Linked DNA regions of Cricetulus griseus. The protein of the gene in region 7 interacts with the protein of the main gene of each other region in a pairwise test. Links are inferred from orthologs where the notes say so. Each region holds a gene or a part of one and is shown on either strand. Other genes may lie near its edges. The genes, in order: Dmc1, Hnrnpc, Reep6, Trim54, Nkapd1, Hsbp1 and Sdcbp.

The links.
Region 1: the proteins of Sdcbp (region 7) and Dmc1 interact in binary tests that used the Homo sapiens proteins (3 or more experiments, as listed by UniProt). The two-hybrid records come from large-scale screens. The link is inferred for Cricetulus griseus from reciprocal best matches to the Homo sapiens genes SDCBP and DMC1.
Region 2: the proteins of Sdcbp (region 7) and Hnrnpc interact in binary tests that used the Homo sapiens proteins (3 or more experiments, as listed by UniProt). The two-hybrid records come from large-scale screens. The link is inferred for Cricetulus griseus from reciprocal best matches to the Homo sapiens genes SDCBP and HNRNPC.
Region 3: the proteins of Sdcbp (region 7) and Reep6 interact in binary tests that used the Homo sapiens proteins (3 or more experiments, as listed by UniProt). The two-hybrid records come from large-scale screens. The link is inferred for Cricetulus griseus from reciprocal best matches to the Homo sapiens genes SDCBP and REEP6.
Region 4: the proteins of Sdcbp (region 7) and Trim54 interact in binary tests that used the Homo sapiens proteins (3 or more experiments, as listed by UniProt). The two-hybrid records come from large-scale screens. The link is inferred for Cricetulus griseus from reciprocal best matches to the Homo sapiens genes SDCBP and TRIM54.
Region 5: the proteins of Sdcbp (region 7) and Nkapd1 interact in binary tests that used the Homo sapiens proteins (3 or more experiments, as listed by UniProt). The two-hybrid records come from large-scale screens. The link is inferred for Cricetulus griseus from reciprocal best matches to the Homo sapiens genes SDCBP and NKAPD1.
Region 6: the proteins of Sdcbp (region 7) and Hsbp1 interact in binary tests that used the Homo sapiens proteins (3 or more experiments, as listed by UniProt). The two-hybrid records come from large-scale screens. The link is inferred for Cricetulus griseus from reciprocal best matches to the Homo sapiens genes SDCBP and HSBP1.

What each region holds. Positions count from the first base shown.
Region 1 is NC_048595.1:376,764,621-376,768,120, forward strand, and holds part of Dmc1 (meiotic recombination protein DMC1/LIM15 homolog), read right to left. Parts: intron 3,255-3,500; coding exon 3,138-3,254; intron 58-3,137; coding exon 13-57; intron 1-12. UniProt on the Homo sapiens protein: Participates in meiotic recombination, specifically in homologous strand assimilation, which is required for the resolution of meiotic double-strand breaks.
Region 2 is NW_023276807.1:207,149,203-207,152,702, forward strand, and holds part of Hnrnpc (heterogeneous nuclear ribonucleoproteins C1/C2), read right to left. Parts: intron 1,421-3,500; coding exon 1,260-1,420; intron 351-1,259; coding exon 237-350; intron 87-236; coding exon 1-86. UniProt on the Homo sapiens protein: Binds pre-mRNA and nucleates the assembly of 40S hnRNP particles. Interacts with poly-U tracts in the 3'-UTR or 5'-UTR of mRNA and modulates the stability and the level of translation of bound mRNA molecules. Single HNRNPC tetramers bind 230-240 nucleotides.
Region 3 is NC_048598.1:101,122,340-101,126,585, forward strand, and holds the start of Reep6 (receptor expression-enhancing protein 6), read left to right. Parts: upstream 1-1,446; 5' UTR 1,447-2,773; coding exon of another isoform or gene 2,774-2,878; 5' UTR 2,879-3,144; coding exon of another isoform or gene 3,145-3,324; 5' UTR 3,325-4,142; coding exon 4,143-4,246. Other genes in the region: Pcsk4 (proprotein convertase subtilisin/kexin type 4), read right to left, coding at 2,774-2,878, 3,145-3,324. UniProt on the Homo sapiens protein: Required for correct function and survival of retinal photoreceptors. Required for retinal development.
Region 4 is NC_048600.1:13,268,719-13,272,922, forward strand, and holds the start of Trim54 (tripartite motif-containing protein 54), read right to left. Parts: upstream 2,801-4,204; 5' UTR 2,384-2,800; coding exon 2,216-2,383; intron 1-2,215. UniProt on the Homo sapiens protein: May bind and stabilize microtubules during myotubes formation.
Region 5 is NC_048597.1:162,375,026-162,378,525, forward strand, and holds part of Nkapd1 (uncharacterized protein NKAPD1), read right to left. Parts: intron 2,571-3,500; coding exon 2,421-2,570; intron 1,487-2,420; coding exon 1,433-1,486; intron 166-1,432; coding exon 1-165.
Region 6 is NC_048596.1:195,967,547-195,971,829, reverse strand, and holds the start of Hsbp1 (heat shock factor-binding protein 1), read right to left. Parts: upstream 2,801-4,283; 5' UTR 2,686-2,800; coding exon 2,641-2,685; intron 2,354-2,640; coding exon 2,287-2,353; intron 1,649-2,286; coding exon 1,530-1,648; 3' UTR 1,528-1,529; intron 1-1,527. UniProt on the Homo sapiens protein: Negative regulator of the heat shock response. Negatively affects HSF1 DNA-binding activity. May have a role in the suppression of the activation of the stress response during the aging process.
Region 7 is NC_048595.1:154,128,407-154,132,416, forward strand, and holds the end of Sdcbp (syntenin-1), read right to left. Parts: intron 3,466-4,010; coding exon 3,294-3,465; intron 2,485-3,293; coding exon 2,393-2,484; intron 1,642-2,392; coding exon 1,587-1,641; 3' UTR 501-1,586; downstream 1-500. UniProt on the Homo sapiens protein: Multifunctional adapter protein involved in diverse array of functions including trafficking of transmembrane proteins, neuro and immunomodulation, exosome biogenesis, and tumorigenesis.

The DNA.
Region 1 (3,500 bases), about 220 Mb from region 7:
AAAATTACTCACAATTCCATGTTTCTGTAACAGGTCAATGTCTTGAAAAAAAGATTCCTAAATGAAATAGAAAGAATGTATCTTATATCTTCATATCTAAATAAATGTTTCACATTTTGGGGAGTGACTAATACTCATTCACTAGTCATTCCATAATACTTCAGGTCCATTTCTCTAAACACTGAAGTAGGATCAATCACTTTTTTCAAACAAGTTGTTACATATTTAGAAAACAAACCAATATGGGTGCTGAGAATTAAACCCTGTTCCTCTGGAAGAGGAACTAACTGCTGAGCCATCTTTCCAGCCCCCATCTGACCTATTTTATTTAATACAAATCTTGATATCCTTTTCAGAACCAGTGTGCACAGGAAGCAGTAAGTTGTTATTAATCTGCTTTCATTTGGGGCTGGAGATATAACCAGTGGAAGAGCATTTACCTATCAGAAAGAAGTATTGGGTTGGATCTCTTCTATTGCAAAACAAACAACAAAAACTTTCATACTAGTTGCTAAGTGGCTAAACTTAGCACCCTTTGCCAAAGAAATTGTTACACATTTATATGTATGTCTTATTTCTACTTTCAGTTCCTAAACAAGAAATTTGATTTTCATGGAAAACTGAACATCATCATAACTTCCAACATTCTTATTATACCTCCTCATCTTGGAATCCTGATTCTTCCTGCACAATTTGATCCTCTTTCATGTTGAAAGGAAAATGGCAGAAAAATAATCAATTCTGGAAAATAAGAAATATTATTTAAAGTCAGGTGGTAGTGGTGGCACACGCTTTTAATCCCAGCACTCGGGAGGCAGAGGCAGGCGTATCTCTGTGAGTTCGAGGCCAGCCTGGTCTACAGAGTGAGTGCCAGGACAGCCTCCAAAGCTACAGAGAAACCCTGTCTCGAAAAACAAAACAAACAAACAAACAAACAAGTAGTTTTCCTAATTTTCTTTTTATTGCTGTGATAAAACATTGACCAAAAGTAACTTGGGGAAGAAAGGGTTTACACACCCTAGTCACAGTTCATCACTGAGGGAAGCCAAAGGAGGAACTCAAGGCAGTGACCTGGAGGCAAGATCTGAAGCACAGGTTGTGGAAAAATACTGCTTACAGACTTGTTCTCCATAGCTTGCTTGCTTTTTTCCCCTTCCTTCCTCCCTTCCCCCCCCCTTTTTTTTTCTGTTGTCATTGTTTTGAGACAGGGTTTCTCTGTGTAGCACTGGATGTCCTGGAACTCGTCTGTAGACCTGGCTGGCCTTGAACTCAGAGATCTGCCTACAGAGAGAGTTACAGGACAAACTCCAAAGCTACAGAAGGAAATCCCATCTCAAACACCCCTCAAAAACAAACAATCAAAAAAAAAAAAAAAAACCCTTGTATCATTCTTCCTTGTATCTTTCAAGTAAAAGGATTTTCATCAGGTGTTAGTGAGGTCCGCTTTTAATTCCAGCACTTGGGAGGCAGAGGCAGGTGATGTCTGTGAGTTCAAGGCCAGCCTGGTCTATAGTGAGAGTTCCAGGACAACCTCCAAAGCAATACAGAGAAACCCTGTCTCGAAAAATAAAAAAAAAAAAACAAAAAACAAAAAACAAAAAAAACAAAACAAACGGGGTGGGGGGTGGGGGGACTTTCTTTTTCTCATACCTGATAAATACCTTCTTGATTTCTGGTTGTGAATTGCTACACAGGTAAATGTATGTATCTTTTGCTTCACAAAACTATATATTCCATAGTATTTACTAGTTTCATAATTTTGTAAAAATATGGTAATACCTGTCTAAATTAGGGTTTTTATTTCTGCTATGAAACACCACGACCAAAAATCAAGTTGGGAAGGAACTTGTAGTCCATCATTGAAGGAAGTCAGGACAGGAACTCAAACAGGCTATGAAGTTGGAGGCAGGAGCTGATGCAGAGGCCATGGAGGGATGCTGCTTACAGACTTGCTCATCATGGCTTGCTCAGACTGTTTTATAGAATCTAGCACCCACCAGTCCAGGGATAGCACCACCCACAGTCGGCTGGGCCCTCAATCATCAATGAGATTGAGAAAATGAGAAAATGCCCTACAGCTGGATCTTGCAGGAACATTTTCTCAATTGAGGTTCTCTCCCTTCAGATGACTCTAGCTGGTATCAAATTGACATAAAACTAGCTGGAACAATATCCAGTGACAATTTCGTTTTGTTTTTTTTTTTTAAACCAGGGAAGCAACAGACACGATGGTGTACATTGCAATAAAATGAATAATCTTGTTCTTGCTTTATTGTTTCCTCGTTTAATATCAAAGTCAGGTGTTGAAGCCCTGGAGCCTCTGCCTCCTGAGATAGATTTTTTTTATGTATGTGTACGTGTTTTACATAGGCCATCCAAGCTGGCTTGGAACTTTTGACTCTCCTCTCCCATCCATCTCCCCAGTTCTGGGACTACAGGCACCACCATGCCCGCTCTCCACAATATGAGCGGTTAGCCCAAATTCCACAGACTATCCTTCCTGAAAAAAACAAATCAGCAAATTCCTCTCTCTCCTTTAGCTACAGGGTCTGCTAGACCCACTGGTTGGGAATTCAGTTCTGCCTTCCTCTGCCGGGATCACCGATGTGCCCACCCCGACCCTGGGATCTGAAGTAGGGCACTTAGCCTAGGTTTCGGGGGACTGTCGGGGAGCAGCAGGGAGGAGGGTTTCAGGGGACTGGGGGGGGGAGTGGCACGGGAAGGGGCGTCAGGAGACTGGGGGGAGTGGCAAGGGAAAGGTTTCAGGGGACAGGCGGGGTGTGGCAGGGGAAAGCGAAGGGGTCAGAAGCCCGTGGCCTCTCAGCAGGCGGTTCAGTCAGGCCCCTGAGGCTTACATTTTCCAGGCCCTAGTTCCCTGGTAACCCCGAGGAGGCCTTCAAGACTCAGGTCGGACTGATTTACAGCAGGCAGGGAATGCCTCAGGGCCGGAGTGAAAGGTGACAGTCACCTGGCCAAGTCCAATAATAACCAAAAATTACCACAGAAAGGGCAAGGAGAGGACGCGCTTTCTCAACGCTTAAGAGATTTCCTCAGATTTTCCCGTGCTTCTTCTTTTCGCCACTCACCCCCCACTCGAACCCACGGTCTCCCCGGGATTTTCAAGGTGAATCCCTTACGATTCCCACTCGGGCTTTCCGGTCCAGTCCGGGCCGAGGTTCTATTTCGGAGCCCGAACACCGAGGCCGACAACCCAGTCGTCGAATCTCTATGTATTTGGCGCCAAACGAGGATGTCTAGAGCACGCCCCCAATATGGGCGGGGCGAGGGATGTGGGCGGGGCAAATGTAGCACAACGTGAAGGGCGGGGCGAGAGCTCTAGTGAATGCTGCGGGGTGGGACGGGATGGGGCCTCCAGGCCTCTGAGATGGGGGGAGGACAGTAGTGGAACACGTCTCTGAGGAGAGAGTTTGGGCTTGAGACCAGAACCCGGGAGTCCCTTGGGCAAAGGGAGATGCTGAGTCAAGGAGAGAGGAGCTGAG
Region 2 (3,500 bases), on a different chromosome or scaffold from region 7:
GGTCTCATCTTTTTTCACAGAGGCACTGCTCTGTTCTTCTTCAGACTTTTCATTCTTCATCTCTACTGGGGATGAGAAGGACAAGTCTGTCCAGGGGCAAGTGTTGCCCACAGGATATAGAGTTCTCATTAATCAAAGAATATAGTTTTCCAAACAAATTTAACCCCCCAACACCCCCAATATGCAAATATCTTAAAATAACCCAATTTTACTTGAAACAAGCACAAGACCATTACCTGCTTGTTTGCTCTGTTCCTTTTCAATTTTTTCTAGGCTTTCCAGAAGAGAATCCACTTTTTGTTTTATCTGAGTCAGCTCCTTCTTAATGGCCTGAAGGTCATCTCCTTTCACTGTAACAAACAAAAAGTTAGACTAGAATAAAACATAATTTACCAGTTGCTGAAAATGCCCTCCTTCCAGGGGCTAGGCTTTTGAATTGACTCTCAGCACTGCCGCAGGGGGAAATTCTTTGAGATACACGCACACACACATACTCGTGTAATGGAGACTTTTTTCTTTCCTATAATCCTTTGGAGCCTGTCCTGGAGCTCCCTCTATAGATCGGGCTGGCCTTGAACTCACAGAGATCTACTCCTCTGCCTCCTGAGTACTGGGTTTAGGCAAATGCCACCATGCCCAGCTTGGTTTATTTTTTGGCAGAAGGTTTCTCAGTACCCAATGCCATCCTCCAACTAGGAGATCCACCTGACTTTGCCTCCCAAGTGCTGGGAGAGAACAGGGTATGTGTGCCTGTTCCTGCCTCCCTAATATGGTGAATAAAGCTATCACTTTGCTGGTCCCATCATTCTTTTTGAGAATCTCTCCATGAAACAAGAACTCACTGATTTTGCATGGTTAGGTCCAGGGTTGTTCCCCTCTCGGCCTCCCCAGAGTTAGAATTCAAGGTAAGTAAGGTGTGCTCCACTTGGGATCCAAACTTATGTCCTCGCTCCTTGCAGGACCTTTACCAACTGAGCATCCCCTTGCCTCCCTCATCTCACTGTTTAAGTACACACACACACACACTATGAGTATCTCCAATTTAAAATAAACACAGGGCAGAAAAATAGCTAAGTGTCATTTTTGCACCCATGTCTCAAAACTGCAACTCCAGCTCCATGGGAATTAACATCTTCTCTGACATCAACAACTCCCCCACATACACATATGTAAAAATAATAGTAATAATAAAACATAACATTTGGAGGCAGGATGCACTGCACAAAAACACACCCTCACAAAAGATAAATAACACTTACACTTTCCAGACTTGGATGATGATCCCCGCTGTCCACTCTTTGAATTAAATCCACTTTTGCCCCTTCGAGAGGTGTTTCCAGAAACACGCTGGCGTTTAGAAGGCACCACAGCTCGAGCAATAGGAGGAGGAGGAGGAACACGTGCTGGGTAACTGTACATCCTAATGGGGAAAAAAAAATTTAAAGATTTACAATAAAGAAATCAAAATCAGGAATTAAGGAAATGTCTGGAGATCTACAAAGATGACACCAGCTAACAATCTAAGCAACAGAGGAGGCTATACCTTAAATGCCCTCCCCTGATAATGAGATTGATGACTGACTGATAGCGCTCTTCCAGCAGCTGATGGAAGTAGAAGCAGACACCCACAACTAATCACTGAACTGATCTGGAATCCAGTTGCAGTAAAGAATGAGTGATGGGCAAAGGGGTCCACACCAAGCTGGTGAAACCCACAGAAACAGCTGACCTGAACATGGGGAAGCTCTTGTTCCCCAGACTGATAGCTGGAATACCAGCATGGGACTGGTCCAGACCCCAGGAACATGGGTTTCAGTGAGGAAACCTCGGAAATCTACAGGACCTCCTGTAGTAGTTCAGTACTTATTCCTAGCATAGGTGTGGACTTTGGTAGCCCAATCCACATAGAGGGATACTCTTTGAGCATAGACACACGGGGGTCTATGTGTGAGATAGGCCTAGGCCCTATCTCAAAGGATAGGGTAGACTCTGATGACACCCTATGGATGGCCTCACCATCCAGGAGGAGCAGAAAGGATATGTGATAGGTAGGGTTTTAGTTGGGGAGGGTGGTAGGGGAGGGGGAAGGGAGCAGGAACTGGGATCTTGTTTCTAATTCAAATAAAAAAATCTGCAAAAAAAGAAAGCAAGAAAGGAAGCAAGGTTTACAACAGTGGCTTGTTTCTCTATGAGGAATATTCAACAGAATGTTATTTATAATGAACTGCCTTGCCTTTTCCAGCTCCACCATCTTAAACAATACTCCCATTTACTTTCAATTTCTGTGGGACAAGGAGTTTACTATGGCTACATCTTTTGGGTTTTAGGCTGCCTGAAAATCCCTGAAATTTATGTCGTAACACTCTGAATTAAAAAATAAATGTGGGGCTAGAGAAACTGGCTCAACAGTTAAGAGTACCAGATGCTCTTCCAGAGGTCCTGAATTCAATTCCCAGCAACCACATGGGGGCTCACAACCATCTGTTATGAGATCTGGTGCCCTCTTCTGGTGTGCAGATATACATGGAAGCAGAATGTTGTATACATAACAAATAAATAAAATCTTAAAAAAAAAAGACCTATTCCAAAAAAATAAAAAAATAAAATAAATAAAAAAAAAATGTGGTGTAGCATGCCATTAACACTGGCAGAGGCAGATAGATCTCTTTCAAGACCAACCTTGCTCTACTTACTGAGTCAGAACTACACAGTGAGACCCTGACTTGTAGGTTTAAGTTACTTACCTCCTTTATTTGGAACATTACACAAATCCACAAAGAAAAAGTTCATTTTGTACACACTTCCTACCTCCACTATTCATTAGTCATATTATAATAACTGTTCAGATCAATATTACATCACCGCACAAGTTCTGTTGGAAAGTACATTTCTAATTTGTTCCATCCATATGGCCATCCACTTATGGCTCAGAGTTAATATTCAAAGAACATGAAATTCATTCTAAAATGTTCACCTAGAATTCTCACATTATTCAATATGCTTGGTATAACTTCACATACATTTCCTATGATCACAAAGCAGAATGGTAAAACACAGAAAGATTAAGAAGGTCAATAAATAAAACCACATACAAATATTCACACACAAACATGCACAAACGCAAAAATGCTCAAAAATATCAATACTAGGGTTTTTTTTTCTTAAATATTTGTATCTGATTGCTGTGAGGAAGGTCAATACTTACAAAGCTACACAGAGAAACCCTGTCTCAAAAAAAGAAAACAGTAAGGAATGAAGAATGACTAGGGGGCACTTGGAGTTTCTGAACTGTTTTGTGTTTGCCTGGGAGATGGAGTGGGGTGGTGGTGGTGTCTATTTAGTTCTGGCTGTCTATCCTGGAGAAAACGGTAGAAATTCACCCAAGTCTGTCCCTAGCTGGTACTTAAGGCCTCTACATTCATGAAAATTCCATGCTATGGTGTTGAAGATGGCTCAGGGAATGAGAACACCCCTAGAGGACCCACATTCCAATCTCAGTA
Region 3 (4,246 bases), on a different chromosome or scaffold from region 7:
TTACTTAGTCTTATTTAAGAAAATATCAAAGCACGTGTATTCCCCTCTTAAATTTCCCAAATGACTTAGTCTCTCCCTCTCTATTAATTTATGGCCCCCCCTTGTTTTTTTGGTTTTTCAAGACAGGGTTTCTCTGTGTAGCTTTGGAGCCTATCCTGGAACTAGCTCTGGAGACCAGGCTGGCCTTGAACTCACAGAGATCCGCCTGCCTCTGCCTCCGGAGTGCTGAGATTAAAGGCATGTGCCACCAACGCCCGACAATTTACCCCCCTTTTCCTTTAAGTTTATTTTGGAAGCTTAACCACTTCCACTTTGAGCCATAAAGAAGGGCTGACAGATTTGGTTTTTCGAGGCAGGGTTTCTCTGTATTGTTTTGGAGGCTGTCCTGGAACTCGCTCTGTAGACCAGGCTGGCCTCGAACTCACAGAGATCTGCCTGCCTTTGCCTCTGGAGTTTAAAGGCGTGAGCCACCACCACCCAGCTCCATGTAAAACTTGTATCCGTTTCTAGGACCCTGAAAATCTGTAGCCTTGCACCTGGCTAGAGCCAGAGAATTGCTGATTGTGTGTGTGTAGAAACGGGAGGGTGGCAGGACAGGATAGCAGAACAATAAAGAACACATGAAGAACATGTGTGTCAGGTGGTGTGTAACATCTTTTACCCCTCCTTCGTTCCTGAGAAGCATTTCACCTTTGGAACCTTGGGTAGGGGCTGGAGCAGATCTCCTAGACCTTATAACTTCTGACACTCTTCCTGGGTCAGGACAGCCCTGGCCCCATCCCCATGTCCACAACTTCCACTACCTCCTAGTGTCTGTCTCCTCGTTTTACATTTGTATATTCTCTCTCCCTTCTGTGTCTCTCCTCTGTCTTTCCTTTCTCTCTGTGTGTCTGTATGTATGCGCACCACGGCATATATGGAGGTCAAAGGACAGCTACTGGGGCTGGAGAGATGGCTCAGTGGTTAAGAGCAAAGGCCGCTCTTGCAGAGGATCAGGGTTCAATTCCCAGCATCTACATGGCAGCTCACAACTACCTAAGACAAATTCCAAGTAAATCCTGTGCCCTCTTCGGACCCCCGAGGGCTCCTGCGTGCCTGTGGTGCATCATGGGTAAGCAAGCAGGAGAGACACTAATGACACACGTTAGTCAGAAGTAACAAGTAAGTCTTTTAAAAAGAAACCATGGAGTCAGTTTTCTCCTTCCACTATGTGGATGGTGGCGAGAGCTCAGCCAGACTGAGCAACCATCTTTTTTTTTTTTTTAAAGATCTTATTTATTATGTATACAACATTCTGCTTCCATATGTATCTGCACACCAGAAGAGGGCACCAGATCTCATAAGGGATAGTTGTGAACCACCATGTGGTTGCTGGGAATTGAACTCAGGACCTCTGGAAGAACAGTCAGTGCTCTTAACCTCTGAGCCATCTCTCCAGCCCCTGAGCAACCATCTTTACCCTCTGAGCCATCTCACTGTCTTCTGAGATAGGGTCTCACACAGCCAAAAATGACCTTGAAATCCTGATCCTCCTGCCACCAATGACAGGTGTGCGTTTTCACTATCGCTTTAAGAGCACTGGGATGGAACCCAGGACTGCCTGCTTGCTGAACAAGTGCTCCACCCACTGAGCCTGAGCCCCTGTCCACCTCCCTCTTGGTCCAACATCACCAAATCTATTGCCCTGCTGGCCTCCAGCAGTCAACCTGCTCCTCACTTAGCTACAACTAACAACCAAGAAAGAGCTCATGTGTTCTCTTCCACCCCAGGGCCTTTGCAAGTGCTGTTCTGCCAGCCCAAACCAGCTCAAGTCCCCTCTCCTTACACCTCCAGCTTGGTCTGATGAGCCACACTCCTGGCTAACCTGGCTTGACCTCTCTGTCCATCTACCCCATCCATAGCCTCTCATCTCTTGTTCCTTCTCTTTACCCCATCTATTTGACTTCCTTCTTGTCAAGATTTGGCCTCTGAAAGGCACTTGGTCCCTGTGGTGGTTTGAATGAGACTGGTCCCACAGGCTCTTATATTTGAATGCTCAGTCCCCAGTTGGTTTGGGGAAGTGTGGCCTTGTTGGAGAAGGTGTGTCACTGAGAGGTTCTCTCTGCCTCGTCCTTGTGGGTGAGGGTGAAAGTTCTCAGCCACTGCCCCAGTGTGCCAGTCTGCCTGTCTGCTGCCATACTCCTCGACATGGTTGGTGGTCATGGAATCACCCTCTGACGCTGTAAGCTCCAATAAACTCTTCTTTCTGTAGGTTGCCTTGGTCATGGCGTTTTTGTGTCAGCAATAGGACAGTTACTAAGACAGTTCCTGACACACAAAGTGAGCACCTCTTCAGTGTATCTTGTAAGCCTCTATGGCTTGCACACTCACAAATCCATACCATTCTTTGACTACTGTTTAGGGGCTGTTCCCTGTGAGGACTGATCTAATGTGGATGTTTCCAAATAACACAAAGCACCATGGGCTCCACTCCTGATTCGGCTGCACAGTCACTGATTCAGGTTCTCACCTTGGGCATTGTTTTCTAGTCTGATAAAATGGACCGATTCTCTTCCCTACGTCGTATGGCTTGGAGCAGGGAAGGACCAGTGTGTGAGAACCTCTTTCCTTGAGAAGCAGGGCAGGGGCCGTCAGTATGTGGCCCCCCAAGTGCCATGTTGTGGTAGGTGTCATGCTCATACATGACGTCCCCAAGCAGGCCCCACTTGACACAATAAGAATGACTGAAGGTGGCTGGTTGGCCTTAGGAGATGGCAGCCATGGGCTCACTCACCTTGGGCTCTTTCTTCAGGCGCAGACGGTGGCCCCAGTGGGGGGTCAGGGACTGCTGAGCCACACCCCGGTGCCGTAGATGGAAATAGTGGTCGTCGGGAAAGATCTGGGAATGTGATGGACAGGGGCATCGCTGGGACCTGGCTCCTTTGATACAGTCCCAAGGATGGAGTCCAGTTTCTGCGGCATTATATACCTCAACCAGGTGCCCAGTTGAGGGTCGCAGAATCCCAAATTGAATATGGAGGGGGCACGTAGACACGTTCGTTCTTCATATCCGGGGAGGTCTTGGGGACCCCCTCCCATCTGTCCGGGTCTGAGGTCGTCCAGGTCCCCACCCATGGCCCATCCATCCAGGTCCCACCCACCCACCTGTCCCAGGTTGATGAAGCCAAATTTACGTGCCAGGCGCTCAGCCTCCTGGTAACCTTTGGTCACCCGCACGGCCCAGCTGCTGACATAGATGGGGGCCCGGGGTGAGGCCCACCCCACAGCCAGGAGGGCCAAAGCCAAAGCCAGACCCAGCCACAGCGCAGTCGGGGAGGGCCGCATAGCGGGGGGCGGGGCGGGGGGCGGGGCCTCAGGAAGCCACCCCATCCCGGACACCATAGCAACCCCGAAGCTTTCAACTCCCAAGGGGCCTTGCGGTTCCCTCGTCCCCCATCCATGAGGGGTGGGACTATCCCACATGAAGAGACATCCACACGGACCTAAGCCTTCGGGAGCCTCAGTTTCTCCACTTGTACAAGTGCAACACCTTCTGGTCCTTAGGAGCAGGTTCAGGATCACAGGGATACCCCCAACCATTTATTTGGTCCCGCCCACTTTCTTCCACGCCCCTCCTTAGAGAATCAGCCCTGCCTCTCCACATCTTCCAACCAGCATCGTTTGCTTCCAGTGTAGTCCCGCCTCCTTTATGATCAACTCCGCCTTCTCTAGTCTGTCCAATCAGCGCTGGTCTTAACCTGGCCCCACCCACCTGTTTCTCAGCTAGTCCCACCCACCCTCATCGCTCTCCGTCAATAATCTACGGCTTGTCCAATCAGTACCGAGTCACTTCCTCGTGACCAATCAACGCACCGGCAGCCTGGCGCCCCGCCCCCTCCAGCCTCCCTGTGGCCCGGCGGGCCTTAGCCCTGGCCAGAGGGCGATGCGGCGGGGGAGACGGGGCAGGCCCCACCTCCTTTGTCCGCCTTGCCCTCCCATTGGCCAGAGCCAGGGGTCGGGGGCGGAGCCAGGGCCGGGGGCCGAAAGCAGCGTGTCGGGGGCGGGGCCTGGCCGCGCGCGGGAGGCGAAGTCTGTGCGCCGTAGGCTGGGCCGGTGCGCGAGGCTGCGGGTGTGCTTGAGTGGCCTGCCGCGGGCCCACCGCCATGGACGGTCTACGCCAGCGCTTCGAGCGTTTCCTAGAGCAGAAGAACGTAGCCACCGAAGCGCTCGGGGCTCTCGAAGCCAGGACCGGTGTAGAGAAGCGGTA
Region 4 (4,204 bases), on a different chromosome or scaffold from region 7:
CAAGAAAGCCTGCTATGCCAAGGAACCTAAAAGGCTATGTTCTCAGTGAAGTTAAGACCCACTTGTGTCAAGACTGGAGAGACAGCCTGGCCATTTGGAACACATGCTGCTCTTTCAGAGCATCAGAGTTTGGTTCCCAGCTGCCACATCACAAACACTGCAGCTCCAGCTCCAGGGGATCTGACACCCTTTTCTGGCTTCTGTGCGCACACACACACACACATACACACACACACTAATAAGAAATATTTTTTTAAAAATAGCTTGTGCTGGGGCTGGAGAGATGGCTCAGAGGTTAGGAGTACTGGCTGCTCTTCCAGAGGTCCTGAGTTCAATTCCCAGCAACCACATGGTGGCTCACAGCCATCTATAATGAAATCTGGTTCCCTCTTCTGGTGTGTGTATACATAATAAATCTTTAAAAAAATAGCTTGTGTTGGGGCTTGTGGTGTAGAGCAATGGTAGAATGCATGTTTAACACACACAATGCCCTGGATTAACCATAGCACCAAAGAGAGGAGGGAAAAAGGTGTGAAAATGTCTGCTCAACTCATTCCCTCATAGTCTGTGAAAAGCAGGAATAATCTTTTTGAGATTTATTTTATGTGTATGTATTTTGCCTGCATGCATAATGCCCATGAGGGGAGGGTTCAGAAGGGAGCATCAGGTCCCCTGGAACTGGAGTTAGACAGTTGTAAGCTATCATGTGGATGCTGGGAACGGAAACTGAGTTGTTTGGGAGAGCAACAAGAGTTCTTAACCACTGAGCCATCTCTCCAGCCCTACCACTTTTTTATTTAATTTTTGAGACTTGGTCTTACTATACATAGCCAGTGGATATACTGGTATAATTGTTCCATAGACCAGGCTAGCCTCTAGTTTGTGGTGGTTACATAGACCAAGCTACCTTCTATTTGTGGTGGTTATGTAGACCAGGCTAGCCACTAGTTTGTGGGGGTTACATAGACCAGACTAGTCTCTAGTTTGTGGTGGTTACATACACCAGGCTAGCCTCTAGTTTGTGGGAGTTATGTATAACAGGCTAGTCTCTAGTTGTGGTGGTCCTCTTAGGTGTTTCAACCACAGGCATGTGTCACACAGCCTGGCTCCTGGCTGGAATCTTATTCCTGATGCTTCTGTCACAGATTTGCACCAAGCCACCCGGATCTTGCAGTTTTTACTTCATCTGCAAGGTCTCATGTCTGTACACGTGAGTCCTGTCCCTTCGCTCTCCCTGACCTCTGATCTAGTTTACAGCCTACTGGAACCTCTATGAATGATACAGGGTAGGAAAGCAAGCCTATGAATTTATAAAGAATTATGATGTATGCATTTATTTAGTTGGTTAGACAGGGTCTCACATAGCCCAAGCTGGCCTTAAACTCATTCTCCGGCTGCCACCTCCCAAGGGCTGGGATTGCAGCCATGCATCACCATGCCCAGCTTTTTTGTTTTTATTTTTGAAATGTGTGGACAGAATGATATCAGTGACTTAACTTAGCTATGCCCGGCCTCATGACCACAGCTACACAGGCATTTCTGGGAAGTACAATTCTGCTTCTGCCTTCTCTCTGTCCATAAATCACCTGAGTATCAGTTGGTCCATGGGCCTCTTCACCAGGTCAGGAGGGCTCACAGGTGTGAAACTGGGGAAAACTTCTGCTTCCCTGGCCCACTGTGTCTAAGCAGCTCCCTCATGGAGAGAGGAGCTCTATCTCAAATATACACAGCTCGGCTGGCATCATAGGCTTTCTCACTGGTTTGTCACAAATTTTTAATTCTAGGGTTTAATTTTATGTTTTGGGGATCAAGTTCAGGTTGTCAGCTTTGGTAGCAAGTGTCTTCACTGTCTTGCTGGCTCTATTATTTTTTTAATACCTCATATTTCATTGATCTCATCTATGGTGTGTAAAGAAAGTAAATAAATAAAACCACAAAGCCTCAAAGTAAATGAAATCTAGTAAGGCTCCCACAAAGTCCAGGCAAGACCACCCTCCTTGCCAGTTTCTGCCAGTCTCCCTGGGGTCCTCCTTCTGACGCTGTGCACACAGGCTGTGCTTGCCAGGCTCTGGGCAACTGCTGACTCGTGCTTCCTCTGGGATCCCACAGCCTCCAACTCTCCTGCCACTGAGTTGGGGCAGCGTCACCATCTCCCGCCTGTGGGACCTGCCACCCAGTCCCTTCCTAGACCTGACCCAGCTGTCCCCAAGCCCACCTGGAAGACGTCATTGGCACACTTGCGGCACAGGTTGTGCTGGCAGGGCAGGATCACCACGGGCTTGGAGAACATCTCCAGGCAGATGGGGCAGATGAGCTGCTTCTCCAGGTTGTCCATGTTGTGTGCATCCCCTAGCAGCGGCTTGAAACCCACGGTGAAGTTCATCCCTTGGCGCTCTAGTGCCTGCCTTGGCCCTGTTTCTGGCCTTCTCTCGCTGCCTGTGCACACTTCTTGTAAACTTTAGGCTGTCTGTGGATTCTTAGGATCCCTGATCTTGCTCCCTCTTGAAAGGGTGATGTTTCCTGTTTCTCTCCCTCTAACGGCCCCTCTCACCCTGGCTATTTCCAGACGCTTCTGTCTGCACTCCCTGTTCAGAGCCGTCTCCACAAACTTGTCCCTTTAGCTCCCCCTGAGAAATTCTCTTGCTCCCCCAAACCACCCTCGTGCTCACTCTACAGGCAGTACTCTTTGTCCCTTGCTCGCTAGAGAGGTTAATATTACTGTGGGGGTAGGGAGACAAGGGGCATTTGTGTGACATTCCAGTTCCCAATTTAGCTCATGTAAGGCGAGCCACAGCTGTCCCGGACTGAGTGACCCTGACTCACTCAGCTGGTGGCTTTCTTGAGCAAGAAGAGCAGCAGGGGTGTCACTGCTTTCAGTGGGTGGTGGGTCAGTGTGGGGCTCACTTGTCACTGGGAAGGTTCCTGCAACCTCTGCTCTCCGTGTTCTGGCTTGAGACCTTCTTCCTAACAGAAACTAGCACATGGGAGAGACAGCACACATGGCTCAGGGTGGGAAGGATGGTCTGGACGGATCTACAGACTTCTGTCTCTCCCTTTTATACTGAGCATTGATCCTGACCCTCCTCCTGGAGACTCAGGATTCAGAAGTGGAACTCCAGACCCTACAAAAGAGAACTTCTTGTCCCATATGTCTGGTCCATATTTGTTCTTGTTCAGCCTTAAAAAAACAACTACATTTATTTACTTTAGGGAGGGGTAGGTATGACATGGAGCATATGTGGAGGTCACAGGTCACTGACAGGAGTCACTTCTTTTTCTTCAGTGTGGGGGTTACAGAAATCAAACTGAGGTCATCAGAATTGGTGACCAATGCCTTTACCTATTGAGCAATCTAGCCACAAACTTCCCTCTCCCTTATTAAAGACAGGCTCTCAGTAGATTAGGTTAACCTTGAATTCACTGTCATCAAGGATGACCTTGAACTCCTGATCCTCTTGACTCTACATCCAAAGTGCTAGGATTAGGGGAGAACACCATTATTCCCAGTTTACGAGGTTCTGGGCGTCAACTCGGGGTCTTTTGTGTACTAGAGAAGCACTGTGCTTACTGAACTACATCGCCCTTGGATGGCCAGTTATATCATCCTAGGAGAGCAGCTGAAGAGGCAAGAGATGGCTGCTGTGCCAGCCCAGGCCTGCCTTATGATCAGGGCATGAGAGTGTGTGATTCTGGTCTACCACTGAAGCCATTTCAGGGACGCTAAATTTGCTTAGAATCTGAGACAGTAGTGGACTGGAGATGTCTCAATGGTTAAGACAGTCTCATGAGGAGTGGAGTTCAGATCCCCAACACTCACAACCACCCTTTACCACAACTCCGAGTGACTCAGCGCCCTCTTCTGGCTTCCACAGGCATGCACAGACAGATGTGCAGACCCATTTACACAGACACACACATGCAGACACACACACACACACACACACACACACACACACACACACACACACACACATATAAAAAAGGAAAAGTGTGAGAACAGATGTGGCTGGAAACATTCCGAATGCTGCAGTTGTCTGGAACACCAGTGAACCAGTCTGCAGAGCAGTCTCAGGACACTGACAGAGGCACCACCACTGGGCATCTTTGACCCCTGGCTCCATTGTGATCAACTCTACCGACCATGGCAGCCTCATCCCAGGCCTGAGCAATAATCATTGATCTTTTTCTCTATCCCCCACACAAC
Region 5 (3,500 bases), on a different chromosome or scaffold from region 7:
ATGTCCACAGCTTCCTTTTTGTTTTTTTTCTGTTTTTTGTGGGACCGTTTTTTCTGCTTCTTTTTATGGGATTTCTTTGACTTCTTATGTTTTCGGGATTCCTGGGCAGATGCTTTCACCTGGGAAGATGTTTTTTCCCCATTGGTAATATCTTGCTGGTCACTACTAAGGAAAAGTAAAGACAGAACTTTTATGGAAGAAAGAAAATGTATATTTATATTTACTATTCTGCATTAAATTATTAACATCTGAACTTTAAATCAGAATTTTAAGCTCGGTATGGTGGTACACAGTTATAATCCCAGTACTCAAAAAGTAGATCTTCCAAGTTTGAGGACAGCCTGCTCTACATAGCAAGTTCTAGGCCCCCAGGACTACAAAAAGAGACTGTCTCAAAAAAACAAAAAAAAACCAAAAACAAAAAAAACAAATAGTACTGGTGAGGTTTCTATTTTATTACTCTCAAAAATGTTTCATTTCCTCATCTTTAAAATCCTAATTTGACCTAACCATACTGGTATAAACCTGTAATTCCAATGTTTAGAAGGTAGGGGCAGTAGGGCCAGGAGTTCAAGGCCACCTTAAGCTATAGAAAATCCTGTCGTCCCCTCCCACCCCCCTCCAAAAAAAAAATACACCTCCTGATCTGCTATGCTGAGTTACATATGAAATACTAAATACCATTGTGCTCCCTTATCCATAGTTTCATTATCTGATTCCTGTCACCTATGGTAAATTCCAGAAACAATTTGTAAGATTTTAATTGCATGTCATACAAATTCCTCACAGTACTACTGTCCCACCTAGGACCTGAGTCATTCCTGTGTCTAGTTACCAACCCTTTGGTCATTTACTAGCCATCTGGGTTATTAGATCCACTGTCTGGTATAGCTTATCTTATTTAACAATGACCCTAAAACACAAGCATGATGCTAACTAACAATTAGGATGTGGCAGAGAAAAGCATGAAGATATGTCCTTAAAGTGAAAAAAAAAAAAAAAAGATTTTAAAAGGTATTGTGTGTATAAGAAAGGAATAGAATATGGGAGCTAGACAGACAAGACGATATAAAATATCCAAGGTTTCAAGTACCTTTAAACATGTTCACTACAGATGATAGTGAACAATTAGTTTCTAAAGCTCTCAGGCTTGCAGAATACCAAACTTCAATCAGGAAAGGTAAATAAGAATTGCTTCCCAACAAGATTTCATTATGTCCCAGGCTGGCTTCAAACTCCCGGACTCAAGCAATCCTCCTGCCTCAGGCTCCTGAGCAGCTGGGACTACAGCCATATACTACCATTCCAGGTTCTAGTTATATTTTCAATGACAAATAAATCTTTTGTAAATATTAGGAACTCTACTTATGGCGTAATTTTGCATTCATCTTAGGTGTTTGGTTTTGTTTCTCTAGTAAGTGTATTTACCTACCTGTCTGTTTCAAACTCTTCAGGATACAACTCTTTATATCCACTGTGACCCCATCTGTAAAATGACATCATAATACATATATTTTTATGAAGCAATGCATATCATTTTTGGAAATTAAAACACAATTAGATTTTGGACTGCATGAATACACACATACAGAGAACAAAGGAAAAGGGGGCAAACTAAAAACACACCTCAGTAACTGCTCTATGTTCTATACTATCATCTCAGACACAGGATGTTGTTCATTGAAAGGTTGTATCTGTTCTTTAAGAGACACTAAAGAACTCTCCTCAGCGGTGAAGTCCTTTTCCCAAACTACTTTATAATGTTATCTACACTGGGACTTTCTAAAGATAGTTACTGAGAAGTGATTCATATGACAAGAGAGTTGTCCTTTTAAAGTGCAGAGCCTATGGCCCAAGGCAACCATTAATCTTTCTGTCTCTATGGATTATCCATTCTGGACATACCACATAACAAAATCTTAAGAGTATGGCTTTTGTAAAGTTTTCAAGGTTATGCATATAGACTTAGTACAGATCCCTTTTACCACTAAGTTCTATTCCACTATATGGAAAGCCTACATTCTGTTTATGCATTCATCAGTCACAGCCATTTGGATTTTCACTTCTTAGTCATTATAAATACTGCTGCTATGCACACTCACAAATGTTTATGGGGTCAATCTGTTTTGAAGAATTATTTATACTTATGTGTAAGACTGTCTTGTCTGCCTGTATATATGTGCATCACATGCATGTATGATGCCCAAAGAGCTCAGAAGAGGGTGTCAAATCCCCTGAAATTGGAGTTACGGACACTTATAAGTTGCCTTGTAGGTACTGGGAACAAAACATGGGTCCCCTGCAAGAGCATCAAGTGTTCTTAACCACTAAGCCATTACTCCAACCCTAGGACAATAATATCAAGAAATACATATTCTTGGGCCAAATATCACTAGGGGTAATAAGAAATAGTCACAAACCTGTCTGGCATGTTGGATTCATAATCATATAACTTCTTGTTCCAGGATTTAGCCTTAAGAAAATCATCATCTAGGGCCCCAGAAATTTCATTCTTTGTCCTCCAGTAGTCTCTGTGACTTTCTTCATCAAAACCATCACTTCTCATCCGACTATAAATGAAAAAAAGACAAACGTTTAGAATTAAAAGCAATCTGTGATGCCACTTTATAGAGCATTATAAACAAAACTCATGGAACATGCTGACACTACCTTTGCACCACATAACATTGATATCAGTCATACTCAGCCAGTAATACATCAAAGTCTACATACTCCATGGACACATTCCCTTGAAATTCCTTTTTCTTCTAATGATTTCTCTAGGTAGCTTTAAAAATCAGGTTATGACCCATCTCACATACCTCCTTCCTGTGCTTAAGGGCACATGAGGCTCTAGAGATATTCCTAATTATTCATGCATCCTACACCTCCCATCGAGCAGTCAAGCCTGAATATATATGGAACTTATTTTGTAAACCAGGTTGGCCTTGAACTCAGAGATCCACCTGCTTCTGCCTCCTAAGTACTGGGATTAATTTGGGTGTGATTACCTAGTCACACCCAAATTATTACAAAGGAACTATGAAAGCCCATTGACTTGGACGAAGAGAGTGAGTAAATGTGGCTTTTAGTAAGAAGAGTTGGCTCAGTGGTTAAGAATACTTGTTGGTCTTGCAGAGGATGCTAATTCAAATCCCAGAACCATGTCAGGAGCTCACAACTGCCTATTAACTCCAACTTCAGGGCATCTAATGATCTCTTCTGACCCCTGCAGACACCAACAGACACAGACACACATAATGAATAAAATAAATACTTTTTTAAAAAAAGGTCTAATGCCGGTTGTGGTGGCACACACTGGTAGTATTTGCTGAAGGAGGCAGAGGCAGGAAGATCTCTGTGAGTTCAAGGCCAGCCTGGTCTCCAGAGGGAGTGCCAAGATAGGCTCCAAAGCTACACAGAGAAAACCTGTCTCGAAAAACCAAAAAAGTCTAATAGAAAGACTAAAGAAAACAGTATGACTGACCGAATTAATAAGA
Region 6 (4,283 bases), on a different chromosome or scaffold from region 7:
AGGGTGTTGGATCCTCTGGAGGTGGAATTGCAGACAGTGGTGAGTGAGGTCTCATGTGACTGCTGGGAACTGAACTTGGGTCTTCCACAGGGCATACGTTGCTTTTAACACCTGAGCCATCTCTCCAGACCCTTATTTGGACATCTTTATTCAAAATTCTTTGAATCCACTTCCTATTTTCATTCCTGTCTTTGTGTTTCCCTGTCAGTTGAACATCTTCAATCATACAATCTTTCAGTTCTTGACTCATGGGGGTTTTCTGTCACAACATAGCACAATCCCCTAGAGCTTCCAAGATCCACTCGACACTTTGCAGCTCTTCTCTAAATAGGACTGAAGACGACACAGCACATACCAAGCACTGATGCGCATCTCATAGTTAAACAACCCAATGTATTGTTTATGTATCTTGACCCTCCCAACCCCCATCTAGTCTCCTGGAATTCAGAACAACCTATTTCAGTCACTGAAAAGCTGGTTCAAGGCCAAGCCCAGAAATAACCTTTAATCCCAGAATCTAGGAGGCAGAGGCAGAAGCAGGTGGGTCTCTATGAACCTGAGGCCATCCTGGTCTATACAGTAAGTTCCAGGCCAGGCAGCCAGGGTTTCATAGCATGTCAAAATAAAAAAAATAAAAACTGAGGGCCCTTCCTCCACAAACACAAGTGAAGCTACAAAGAAATTCACTACATTAAATGGTTTTGTGCTTGTCATCTGATATCTGAAATGATTCAGTGGAAATTTAACTCAGTCTAGAGTAAAGGAGTCGAGTCCATGATAAAAGTCACAAACGTCTCTAGAATTTATAATAGATATTTATGTAAGTGACCTGAATTCTCTGCTGTTTGTAAAAGAAAACAATGAAATAATCTTCCAGTGGCCAGGGTAGGGCACCAAAACACATGCCCAGAAATGACATCACCTGGTGGTCTTCAGTTGCCAGCTCACCAGCCAGAGACATGTCCAAGTTCCAGGTGTGTCCTATGCAGGGCCCAGGATATGAGTGAGGACCGTCATAACTTACAATTAAAACATCAAAGGACTATAGATGGCTCAGCGGTTAAGAGCACTTTTTCTTCTCGGAAAGGACCTAGGTTTGATTCCGAGTACCCGCAAGGTGGCAGGTCTTGTCTGTAACTCCAGTCCCAAGGGATATGATGCTTTCTTTTGGTCTCCCATAGCATTAGGTTTGCATGAGGTGAATATGCAAGCAAAACACTCATATATAAATATTTAAATGACTTCTGTCTTTTATCAGCAATTTCACTCTTCTTTAAGTGTGAACATTATTATGTGTATAGCCTGGACATGCCCAGCAGTGATTCAGTTTTAAGTAATGAAACTTGGAAATGTAAATTCTACCTAAGGAATTAGTTTGGCATGAGCAGTTTCAAAACATGGACTTTCTAGGTGGGGTGCAGAGATACTGGCTGGGAAAAGACACAGGTGAAATCTATCAACGACATCAACCTTACACTGATGGCCACTTTGTGTGCTTTGCGTCAGCAAACTGGTGCCCTCCCTTACCTTCAACTTTTCTGTGCAGTAGCAATCTTGTTTTCCCCTTCCAGTTCTTCCACACCAGCCTGGGTCATGAGGTCAGCGATATTTTTCTCCAGATCGTCAATGCGACTGCTCATGTCATCGAGTGGCACAGTTAAGGAGCCCACACACCAATACCCCACTCTGTCCCCATCCTCCAGGCCCCTGAAACCTGGCTTAAGCAGCAGCTGCTTTCCCTTTCTTCTGGCTACAGTGACCGCCTGGCGGTCTGAGAGGTACAGGGGACCCAGGTAAGTTACTTTCCTAAACCCCGGTTTCCTCATTCATTAATCCCAGAGGACTCTATCCCATGGGTAAAGAGAGGAAGAGTGCTCAGTGAGCACTCCCAGCCGACATAGCCTAGCTCCTTTACTGGTGTTCTGGAGGACCCCCAACAGGGAACTTGGGTAGCTTGGCCACGTCTCTGGCTCTTGGCGCAGTCCTCAGGAACACAGTATAGCCAAGATCAGTGAAGAAATTTCCAAGTGCGGCTGGAGAGATAGCTCAGGGTTATGAGCATTTGAGGCTCTTGCAGAGGGCCTGAGTGTGGTTCCCAGTACCCACACCCGGCAGCTCACAACCACCTGTAACTCCAGCTACAGGGGATCCAATGCCTTTAGTCTCTTCACTCACTCACGCGCACCCATAATATACATAATTAAAAATAATGACTACCTGAAGTCGGTTTGCAAACCTCCCGCTTATCCCCACCATTAAGAAGCTGCCTCCGAAGCAAAAGGATATTCCTTCCAATGATCTGATCCGACATGATCTGAAACTTGTCTTGCATCTGCTGCAAGAGCGTCTCCACCTACGAGAAACCAGAACAAGTCCGCCGATTCCAGCTTATTCCGAGACCATTTTCCTGGGAGGAAGGGGAGGCCAGGGGGTAGGGGAGTCCCGGCAGGTGGGCGAGACCTTTAGCGAGGCCCTGCCAGGTCGGGTTTGGTATTCCCGCGGGTCAGGTCGTGAGGGTCCGTGCCGGGGCCGCAGGAGGGCGAGCCCCGCAGGTGCGCGGGCCGAGGCCGCTGGCCACACCCCACGCCAGGGCCGAGAGCGGCCGCGGAGTGTCGGAACCCAGGTGAGCCTGACGCTTACCACCAAGGTGATGTCCTGCATGGTCTTGGGGTCCGTCTCGGCCATCTCCCCGGTGCCCAGCTTGGCGGCGATGTCTCGGAACCGTCACCTACACTTCGGTTTCTTGGCGCAGACGCCCCCCAAGCCACCAGTTCTCGCGACAACACAGTCACGGGACCGCGAGGCATTGTGGGCGTTGTAGTTCCCGTCACGTACCGGAAGGACCTGGGAAACTTCAGAGCGTCCTGAGGACAGGCTCCGCCTCCCCGGTTTTAGCTCTGCCTCCATCCCCGCCCCAGCTCTACCCTGAATGCGGCAGGGAGCGGAAGCGGAGAGAAAACCGGAAGTGGGCAAAGGTTAACGGGGATTAACGTTTTTTTTTTTTTTTTTCCCTGTGGATGTAGTCAGGCCTTGCGGGTGAAGGCGCTTGCCACCAAATCTGATTCTGGAGTTCGATCTTGCATGTTGGAAGAAGAGCCCCAGCTTTCACAAATTGACCTCTGCCCAGCACACATGTCCTGTGACATACACATATACATATAATTTACAAAATAAATAAATGTAATTTTAAAAAATCCCTTAGAGTTGGTAAGAGTGCACTAACTGGATGTCTGCTCTTCACCAAGACCTATTCTTGAAGACATGGGCCAACAAGTATGTGAGGCCCGATATCCTACTTACTTGGGAGGGATCCTGAGTTCAAGGTGTGACTGAGAAAACTTACTGAGACTCTGTCTCAGAAACAAAACAAAACAAAGCAAAGACCTAACAAGCAGAAAGAGGGTGGAATGGAATGTATTCAGTGGCAAAACACTTGCCTAGCACAAAGAGACCAGCACTGTAGAAACAAAACAAAACAAGAAAGCTCAGGCTACCACCCCCATCCTGGATTGGCACATAACACAGTATACCCAGTTTGCCAGGTATTACTGTTGAAGGGACCGCCCCCCCCCCCCCCATTTGGGCAGCCATGACAGTAATATGTGCTCGCTATGACCTTGTCTTAGTCACTAGAGGTCAGACGCCTGCCTTGTGACAAGGAACCAATCAGAAGTTAGCTGGTGGTGCTGTGCTTTACGACCCTGGGTGTACTTTACGGGCAAGCACACAGCAATGACGTACAAAGCATAGCAACCATCCTGGGAGGGCCTATGGGCCATAACAACCAGTTGGCCAATCAACACAGGGCAAGCCCTCCAAGCCTGGAGGGCACACCAATCCTGAGCCTGTGCGTACCCCTAGACACTCCCCTTACGCTGCCTTACAAGATCTCTCGGGAGCCCCTAGGAGCTGTCTTTGCTAGCCATCCGCCATGGCGGGTGGGTGAAAGACTGGAGCTAACACGGGGTTAGCTCGTTAAAACAATAAAGCCTCATGCAGTTTGCAGCAAGCTCTCGAATCCGCCTGGTGATTGGGGTGATCGTGGTCGTGGCCTGGGACCCCGGATACCTGAGTTTTCCGGGGGTCTAACACTGTGATGGAAACTAACCCGGCTTCTTTCAACCATATGGCTGCCTAATGCTAAGTGGTGCAGGTCTCCATTTGTGTACAAGAGGGGGCAGTGTCAGGGGTGAACCGGGACGTTTGTGTCTCAGGCAGCTCTGAGTTGGGAGGGCCCTGGTTCAAATACTACTTCCCAGGTTCCATAGAGAGATGTGCTGAGA
Region 7 (4,010 bases):
GGGAAATGTAAGTTTCCAACATGGGAAGCTATATAGAAACAGCAATGATTTTCTCATTTAATCTCTGAACAGCAACCACATAATTACAAATGTTCTGTACTCTTGAGAGCATTGTTACAGTGTAGTTAAGAGGAAAAATTCCCAAAGCAGACCAATCCCTGAGCTTGGGCAAGGTTAAAGATTGTTTGGATTTCATGCTCGGGGATTGGTTGTTTTTTGTGCTGAGTTGGTCAGGGGCAGAGCATGTTTCGTTAGCTCTGATTTAAGGGCCAAAGTGTGCTTCTTTCATGGGCAGAAACTTCAGAGTCAGTTTTAAGTGTCATTGAATACATGTGGGTGCTCTCTGCTTTCACTAGAGATGCAGCAGCCTCACCAGGTTCTCCCCACCTACAAGTGTACAGGCCTGGCCATCTAAGGATCTCAGACAAGTGTTAGCTCCAGGACTGTTCTCAGAGACCCCAGATGTGAGAAGAATGAAGGAATAACAGACAGACTAAAAGTTAACATTTTTATACATTTAATAGGATAGTATCAGGATATTACTAGGATAGGCATAAACCAAGAAGAAAAAAAAATTAAGATAAAGTGTCATTGTCATTTTTGTTTAGAGGACGGAATCAGAAAATAGAACAAATTAAAATGGCTAGGGAAACATTCTAAGATGACCCCAAAGTGACTAAATTACATAATATTAGGATTCAAATGCCAAATTAATATTGCCCACATAATCTACAAGTGAAAAGGCGACCCCCAAATTTGTTCTGTTTCTATAACAATGTTTGCATGAAATATATAGCGATTTATTTTTCAGAAAGCGATACGGCAACTTTTAGGCGTTTCCTTTATGCAGTGACTAGAAAATCTCCATACAACTAGGCAGCTCTGCTTAGCAGTGAGCTGCTTGGGGCTGGCAGGTACCAGCTTAATAGAGAGCTAACACTCAGGTCTCAGAAGGCAGCAATAATTCTATTTTGGCTTTTATTCTAAATGCTTGCTGTAGTTAAGGCGACAGTTGAAGCATATTAAGTGAAGGTAGTTAAAATTTAGTGACAATCATGACAGTCTTTTGCAAAGTACACACAATATATAATGCTTTTGTGGAATGAAACCAGAGTTGATTAACTGGAATTTTACACACTCATACAGAGAAAACTTAAAAGTAACTACCAAAGGCAATCATCCTCAATGTACTATGCTGATGTTCTAAAAATCCAGGTGTGCCACAGAAGTGAAGCACACGACTAGCACTGTGCTTCATCTAGGACAAAGGTGACCACTTATCACACAGCTAAGCCTACACCAGTCATCCTAACCACAATGGCTTATAAAAACATCAGGTTTCCAGTAAAGAAACGATTCTAGGAAAGTCAGTAAGTTTCACATCTGTAAAACCAGGATAAGGCTACAACTATCTTAAAATCTGCAGAAGACATCAGATAGAGTGAGGTTCCCAGCCATGATGGAAGATAGACAGGTCCCCATGCAGCATATTCTCCCTGGCTCCCGGAAAGCTTCATATGCAAAATATAGAAGTTGCCGAAGAAGAAAACTGGAAACATTCAGCTGTAATGCGTTGTTCAAAGTTTCTAAACCTCGGGAATGGTGTGATCCATCAGGCTTTTCATAATGCTTGGTGCCATCCTACAAGAGAGCCAACTCATCATATAACTCATATCTTATTTTCAAAGATGCCATTTTAACCCAAGACAACCCCAATTCCAGTGTAGCACTATTGTCTAAAGGTCTTTAAATGAGCTCAGAGCTACAGAACTGATAACTGAGTTGTCTAAGACTGTCCAGGAAAACTAAACATCTGCACCAGGGTCGACATGCTAAAGAAGGTGCAAGTCATTTACCTTAAGACTGGCAGTTTAATTAGAATAAAACAGCAAGGCTATGGAGTTAGAAGAAAAGGTGGAGAAGGAACCTACCAATGGTTAAAAAAAGAAAAAAAGACTATAAAACAGTCAAATGCTCACAACATTTTCCCTTCCGAGGGTACTTAGCTGCATTCTACCCAGAAGCCAAAATTACAAAGATTCCATTACAAAGGTTAGGTTTATGTATCTTTGAAATCTCACTTTCTATCAGGATTCTGAATGAAGGGTTTCCAAGAAACAGTACCAACTACAAAGACAGTCAGAATCACCCCTTGCTGGCCCTTGTCAGCTTGCATGGACTTTATACTTCTTGGTTCTGGGGGACAGAAAGCAAGCACCATGCACCCCTCTACCTCCTGAGACATACTGCAAATAGCAACAGCAACTCAATATCTCACAGGCAAGAAACCCCCATCATAACCACTGATTTCTAATAAGCAGAACTGCAGGCTTCAAGAAGTATTTACATTTATGTCAGGAGACAGCAAGCATAAGTAGAGCTGTCCACTTACCGTTTAATAATATGTTCAAAGATAAAAGCAGGCATGATTGTAATGGTAACTACAGTCCCAGCTGTTGACAGTATGTCTGCAATCTGAGAATCCTAGTGAAACATAACAGAATTTAATTTCACTGAAGCTTTATTTAATAAACATAAAACTGTAATTGTTAGGTAAGAGTCACACTATATTTGCTGTTGTCATGCTAGTATCTCTGGAGTCCCAATCCCTGGTATGTCTGAATTTTAGTTTTAATCTTACAGACATGTGTGTTTCAACCTGGTAGCAAAGTTGAAGGCACTGAACACAATCCTTCCCTTACCTGAAGATGGAGAGCTTGCCCCAAACACAGTCAACTGTATTCCAGAATTTATGAGTTAAAGTCTTACTTAAAACCTTGAGATCTTAAGGTAGTCTCAATTCAAAGATTTATATGCCGAGCAGGGTTTCACGTGCCTTAGACCCAGCACTGCAGAAGCAGGTACATGTGAGTTAGAGAACAGCATGGCCTACATAGTGAGTTCCTGGGCAGCCAGGGCTATGCCCATAAAAACTTTATAGATCAAAATCTATAAAAATCAAAGTATTAATATATACCAAGACTTATTCCTTTCCTGTATTTCTGAACTGAAAAATATTGGGACATTCATCCATTCACAATGTCTAAAAATGTCCCTGCCCATTTCTCCACAGAATTCTAGCTAGAGAGAGATCATAGAATCATAGTTTAGTGACCTTGGTATGGAAAAGATAATTCCAGGTAACATCCCAGAGTTACTGTGATGGCCTAAGACCATAGCTCCTACATTTATCTCCCAAGTTTCAGTGTTTGAGGGTCATCAGGAAAGTCACACCACCTCAATGTTATCTAAAATAAAATGGCTCCAAAACTAGGGTCCAGTGTGCTTCTTACCTTCAAGCCAATGACGTTCTGCCCGTTTATCTCACAGATGTGATGATCAGTGAGAAGGCCATTTCTGGCAGCAGAACTATCTTTCACTATGGATGTGATTTTTCCACTTTTAAAGATAAAACCAACATGTCCACTGCTGTCCTTATGCATAGTAATTGTCCGCTCAAAGGGCCTGTAAGAGTAAGTGCTGGGTTAGACTGAAACTTTAATTTCATACTTCAATAGACATGACATACCACAAATTGCCACATGGGTATTTTGTTACAGTAAGTGCTGTTTCTAATCATTTATTATGGCTCTTACACTATACATGGGACAGTAGCCTTGCTTAGTCTCAAAATTTGAATGACTTGCTAATCAAGATACCCTTCTGTTAAGTTGAGAAAACAGAACACACTACTTTGTGGAATTATCAATACATTTCTTATATTTTTGGTTGTGAGCCTAGCCTTTAATGGCTGAGCCATTTCTCCAGCCCATCAATACATTTCTTTACAGTCCACTATGCTTTGGAGTTACTACATTTTTCTTTACAATCCACCATACTTTTCAGTTATCATTACATTTTTCTTTACAGTCCACCATGCTTTGCATTAATGACAAGATGGCTTTGAACTAATTCATTGAATCTTTCAATACTTCTGGGAGCCGACTGACCTTAGGACATTTGACATTGAAAATGTTAGTTTTCACATCTCAATTTTGAAAATGTTATGG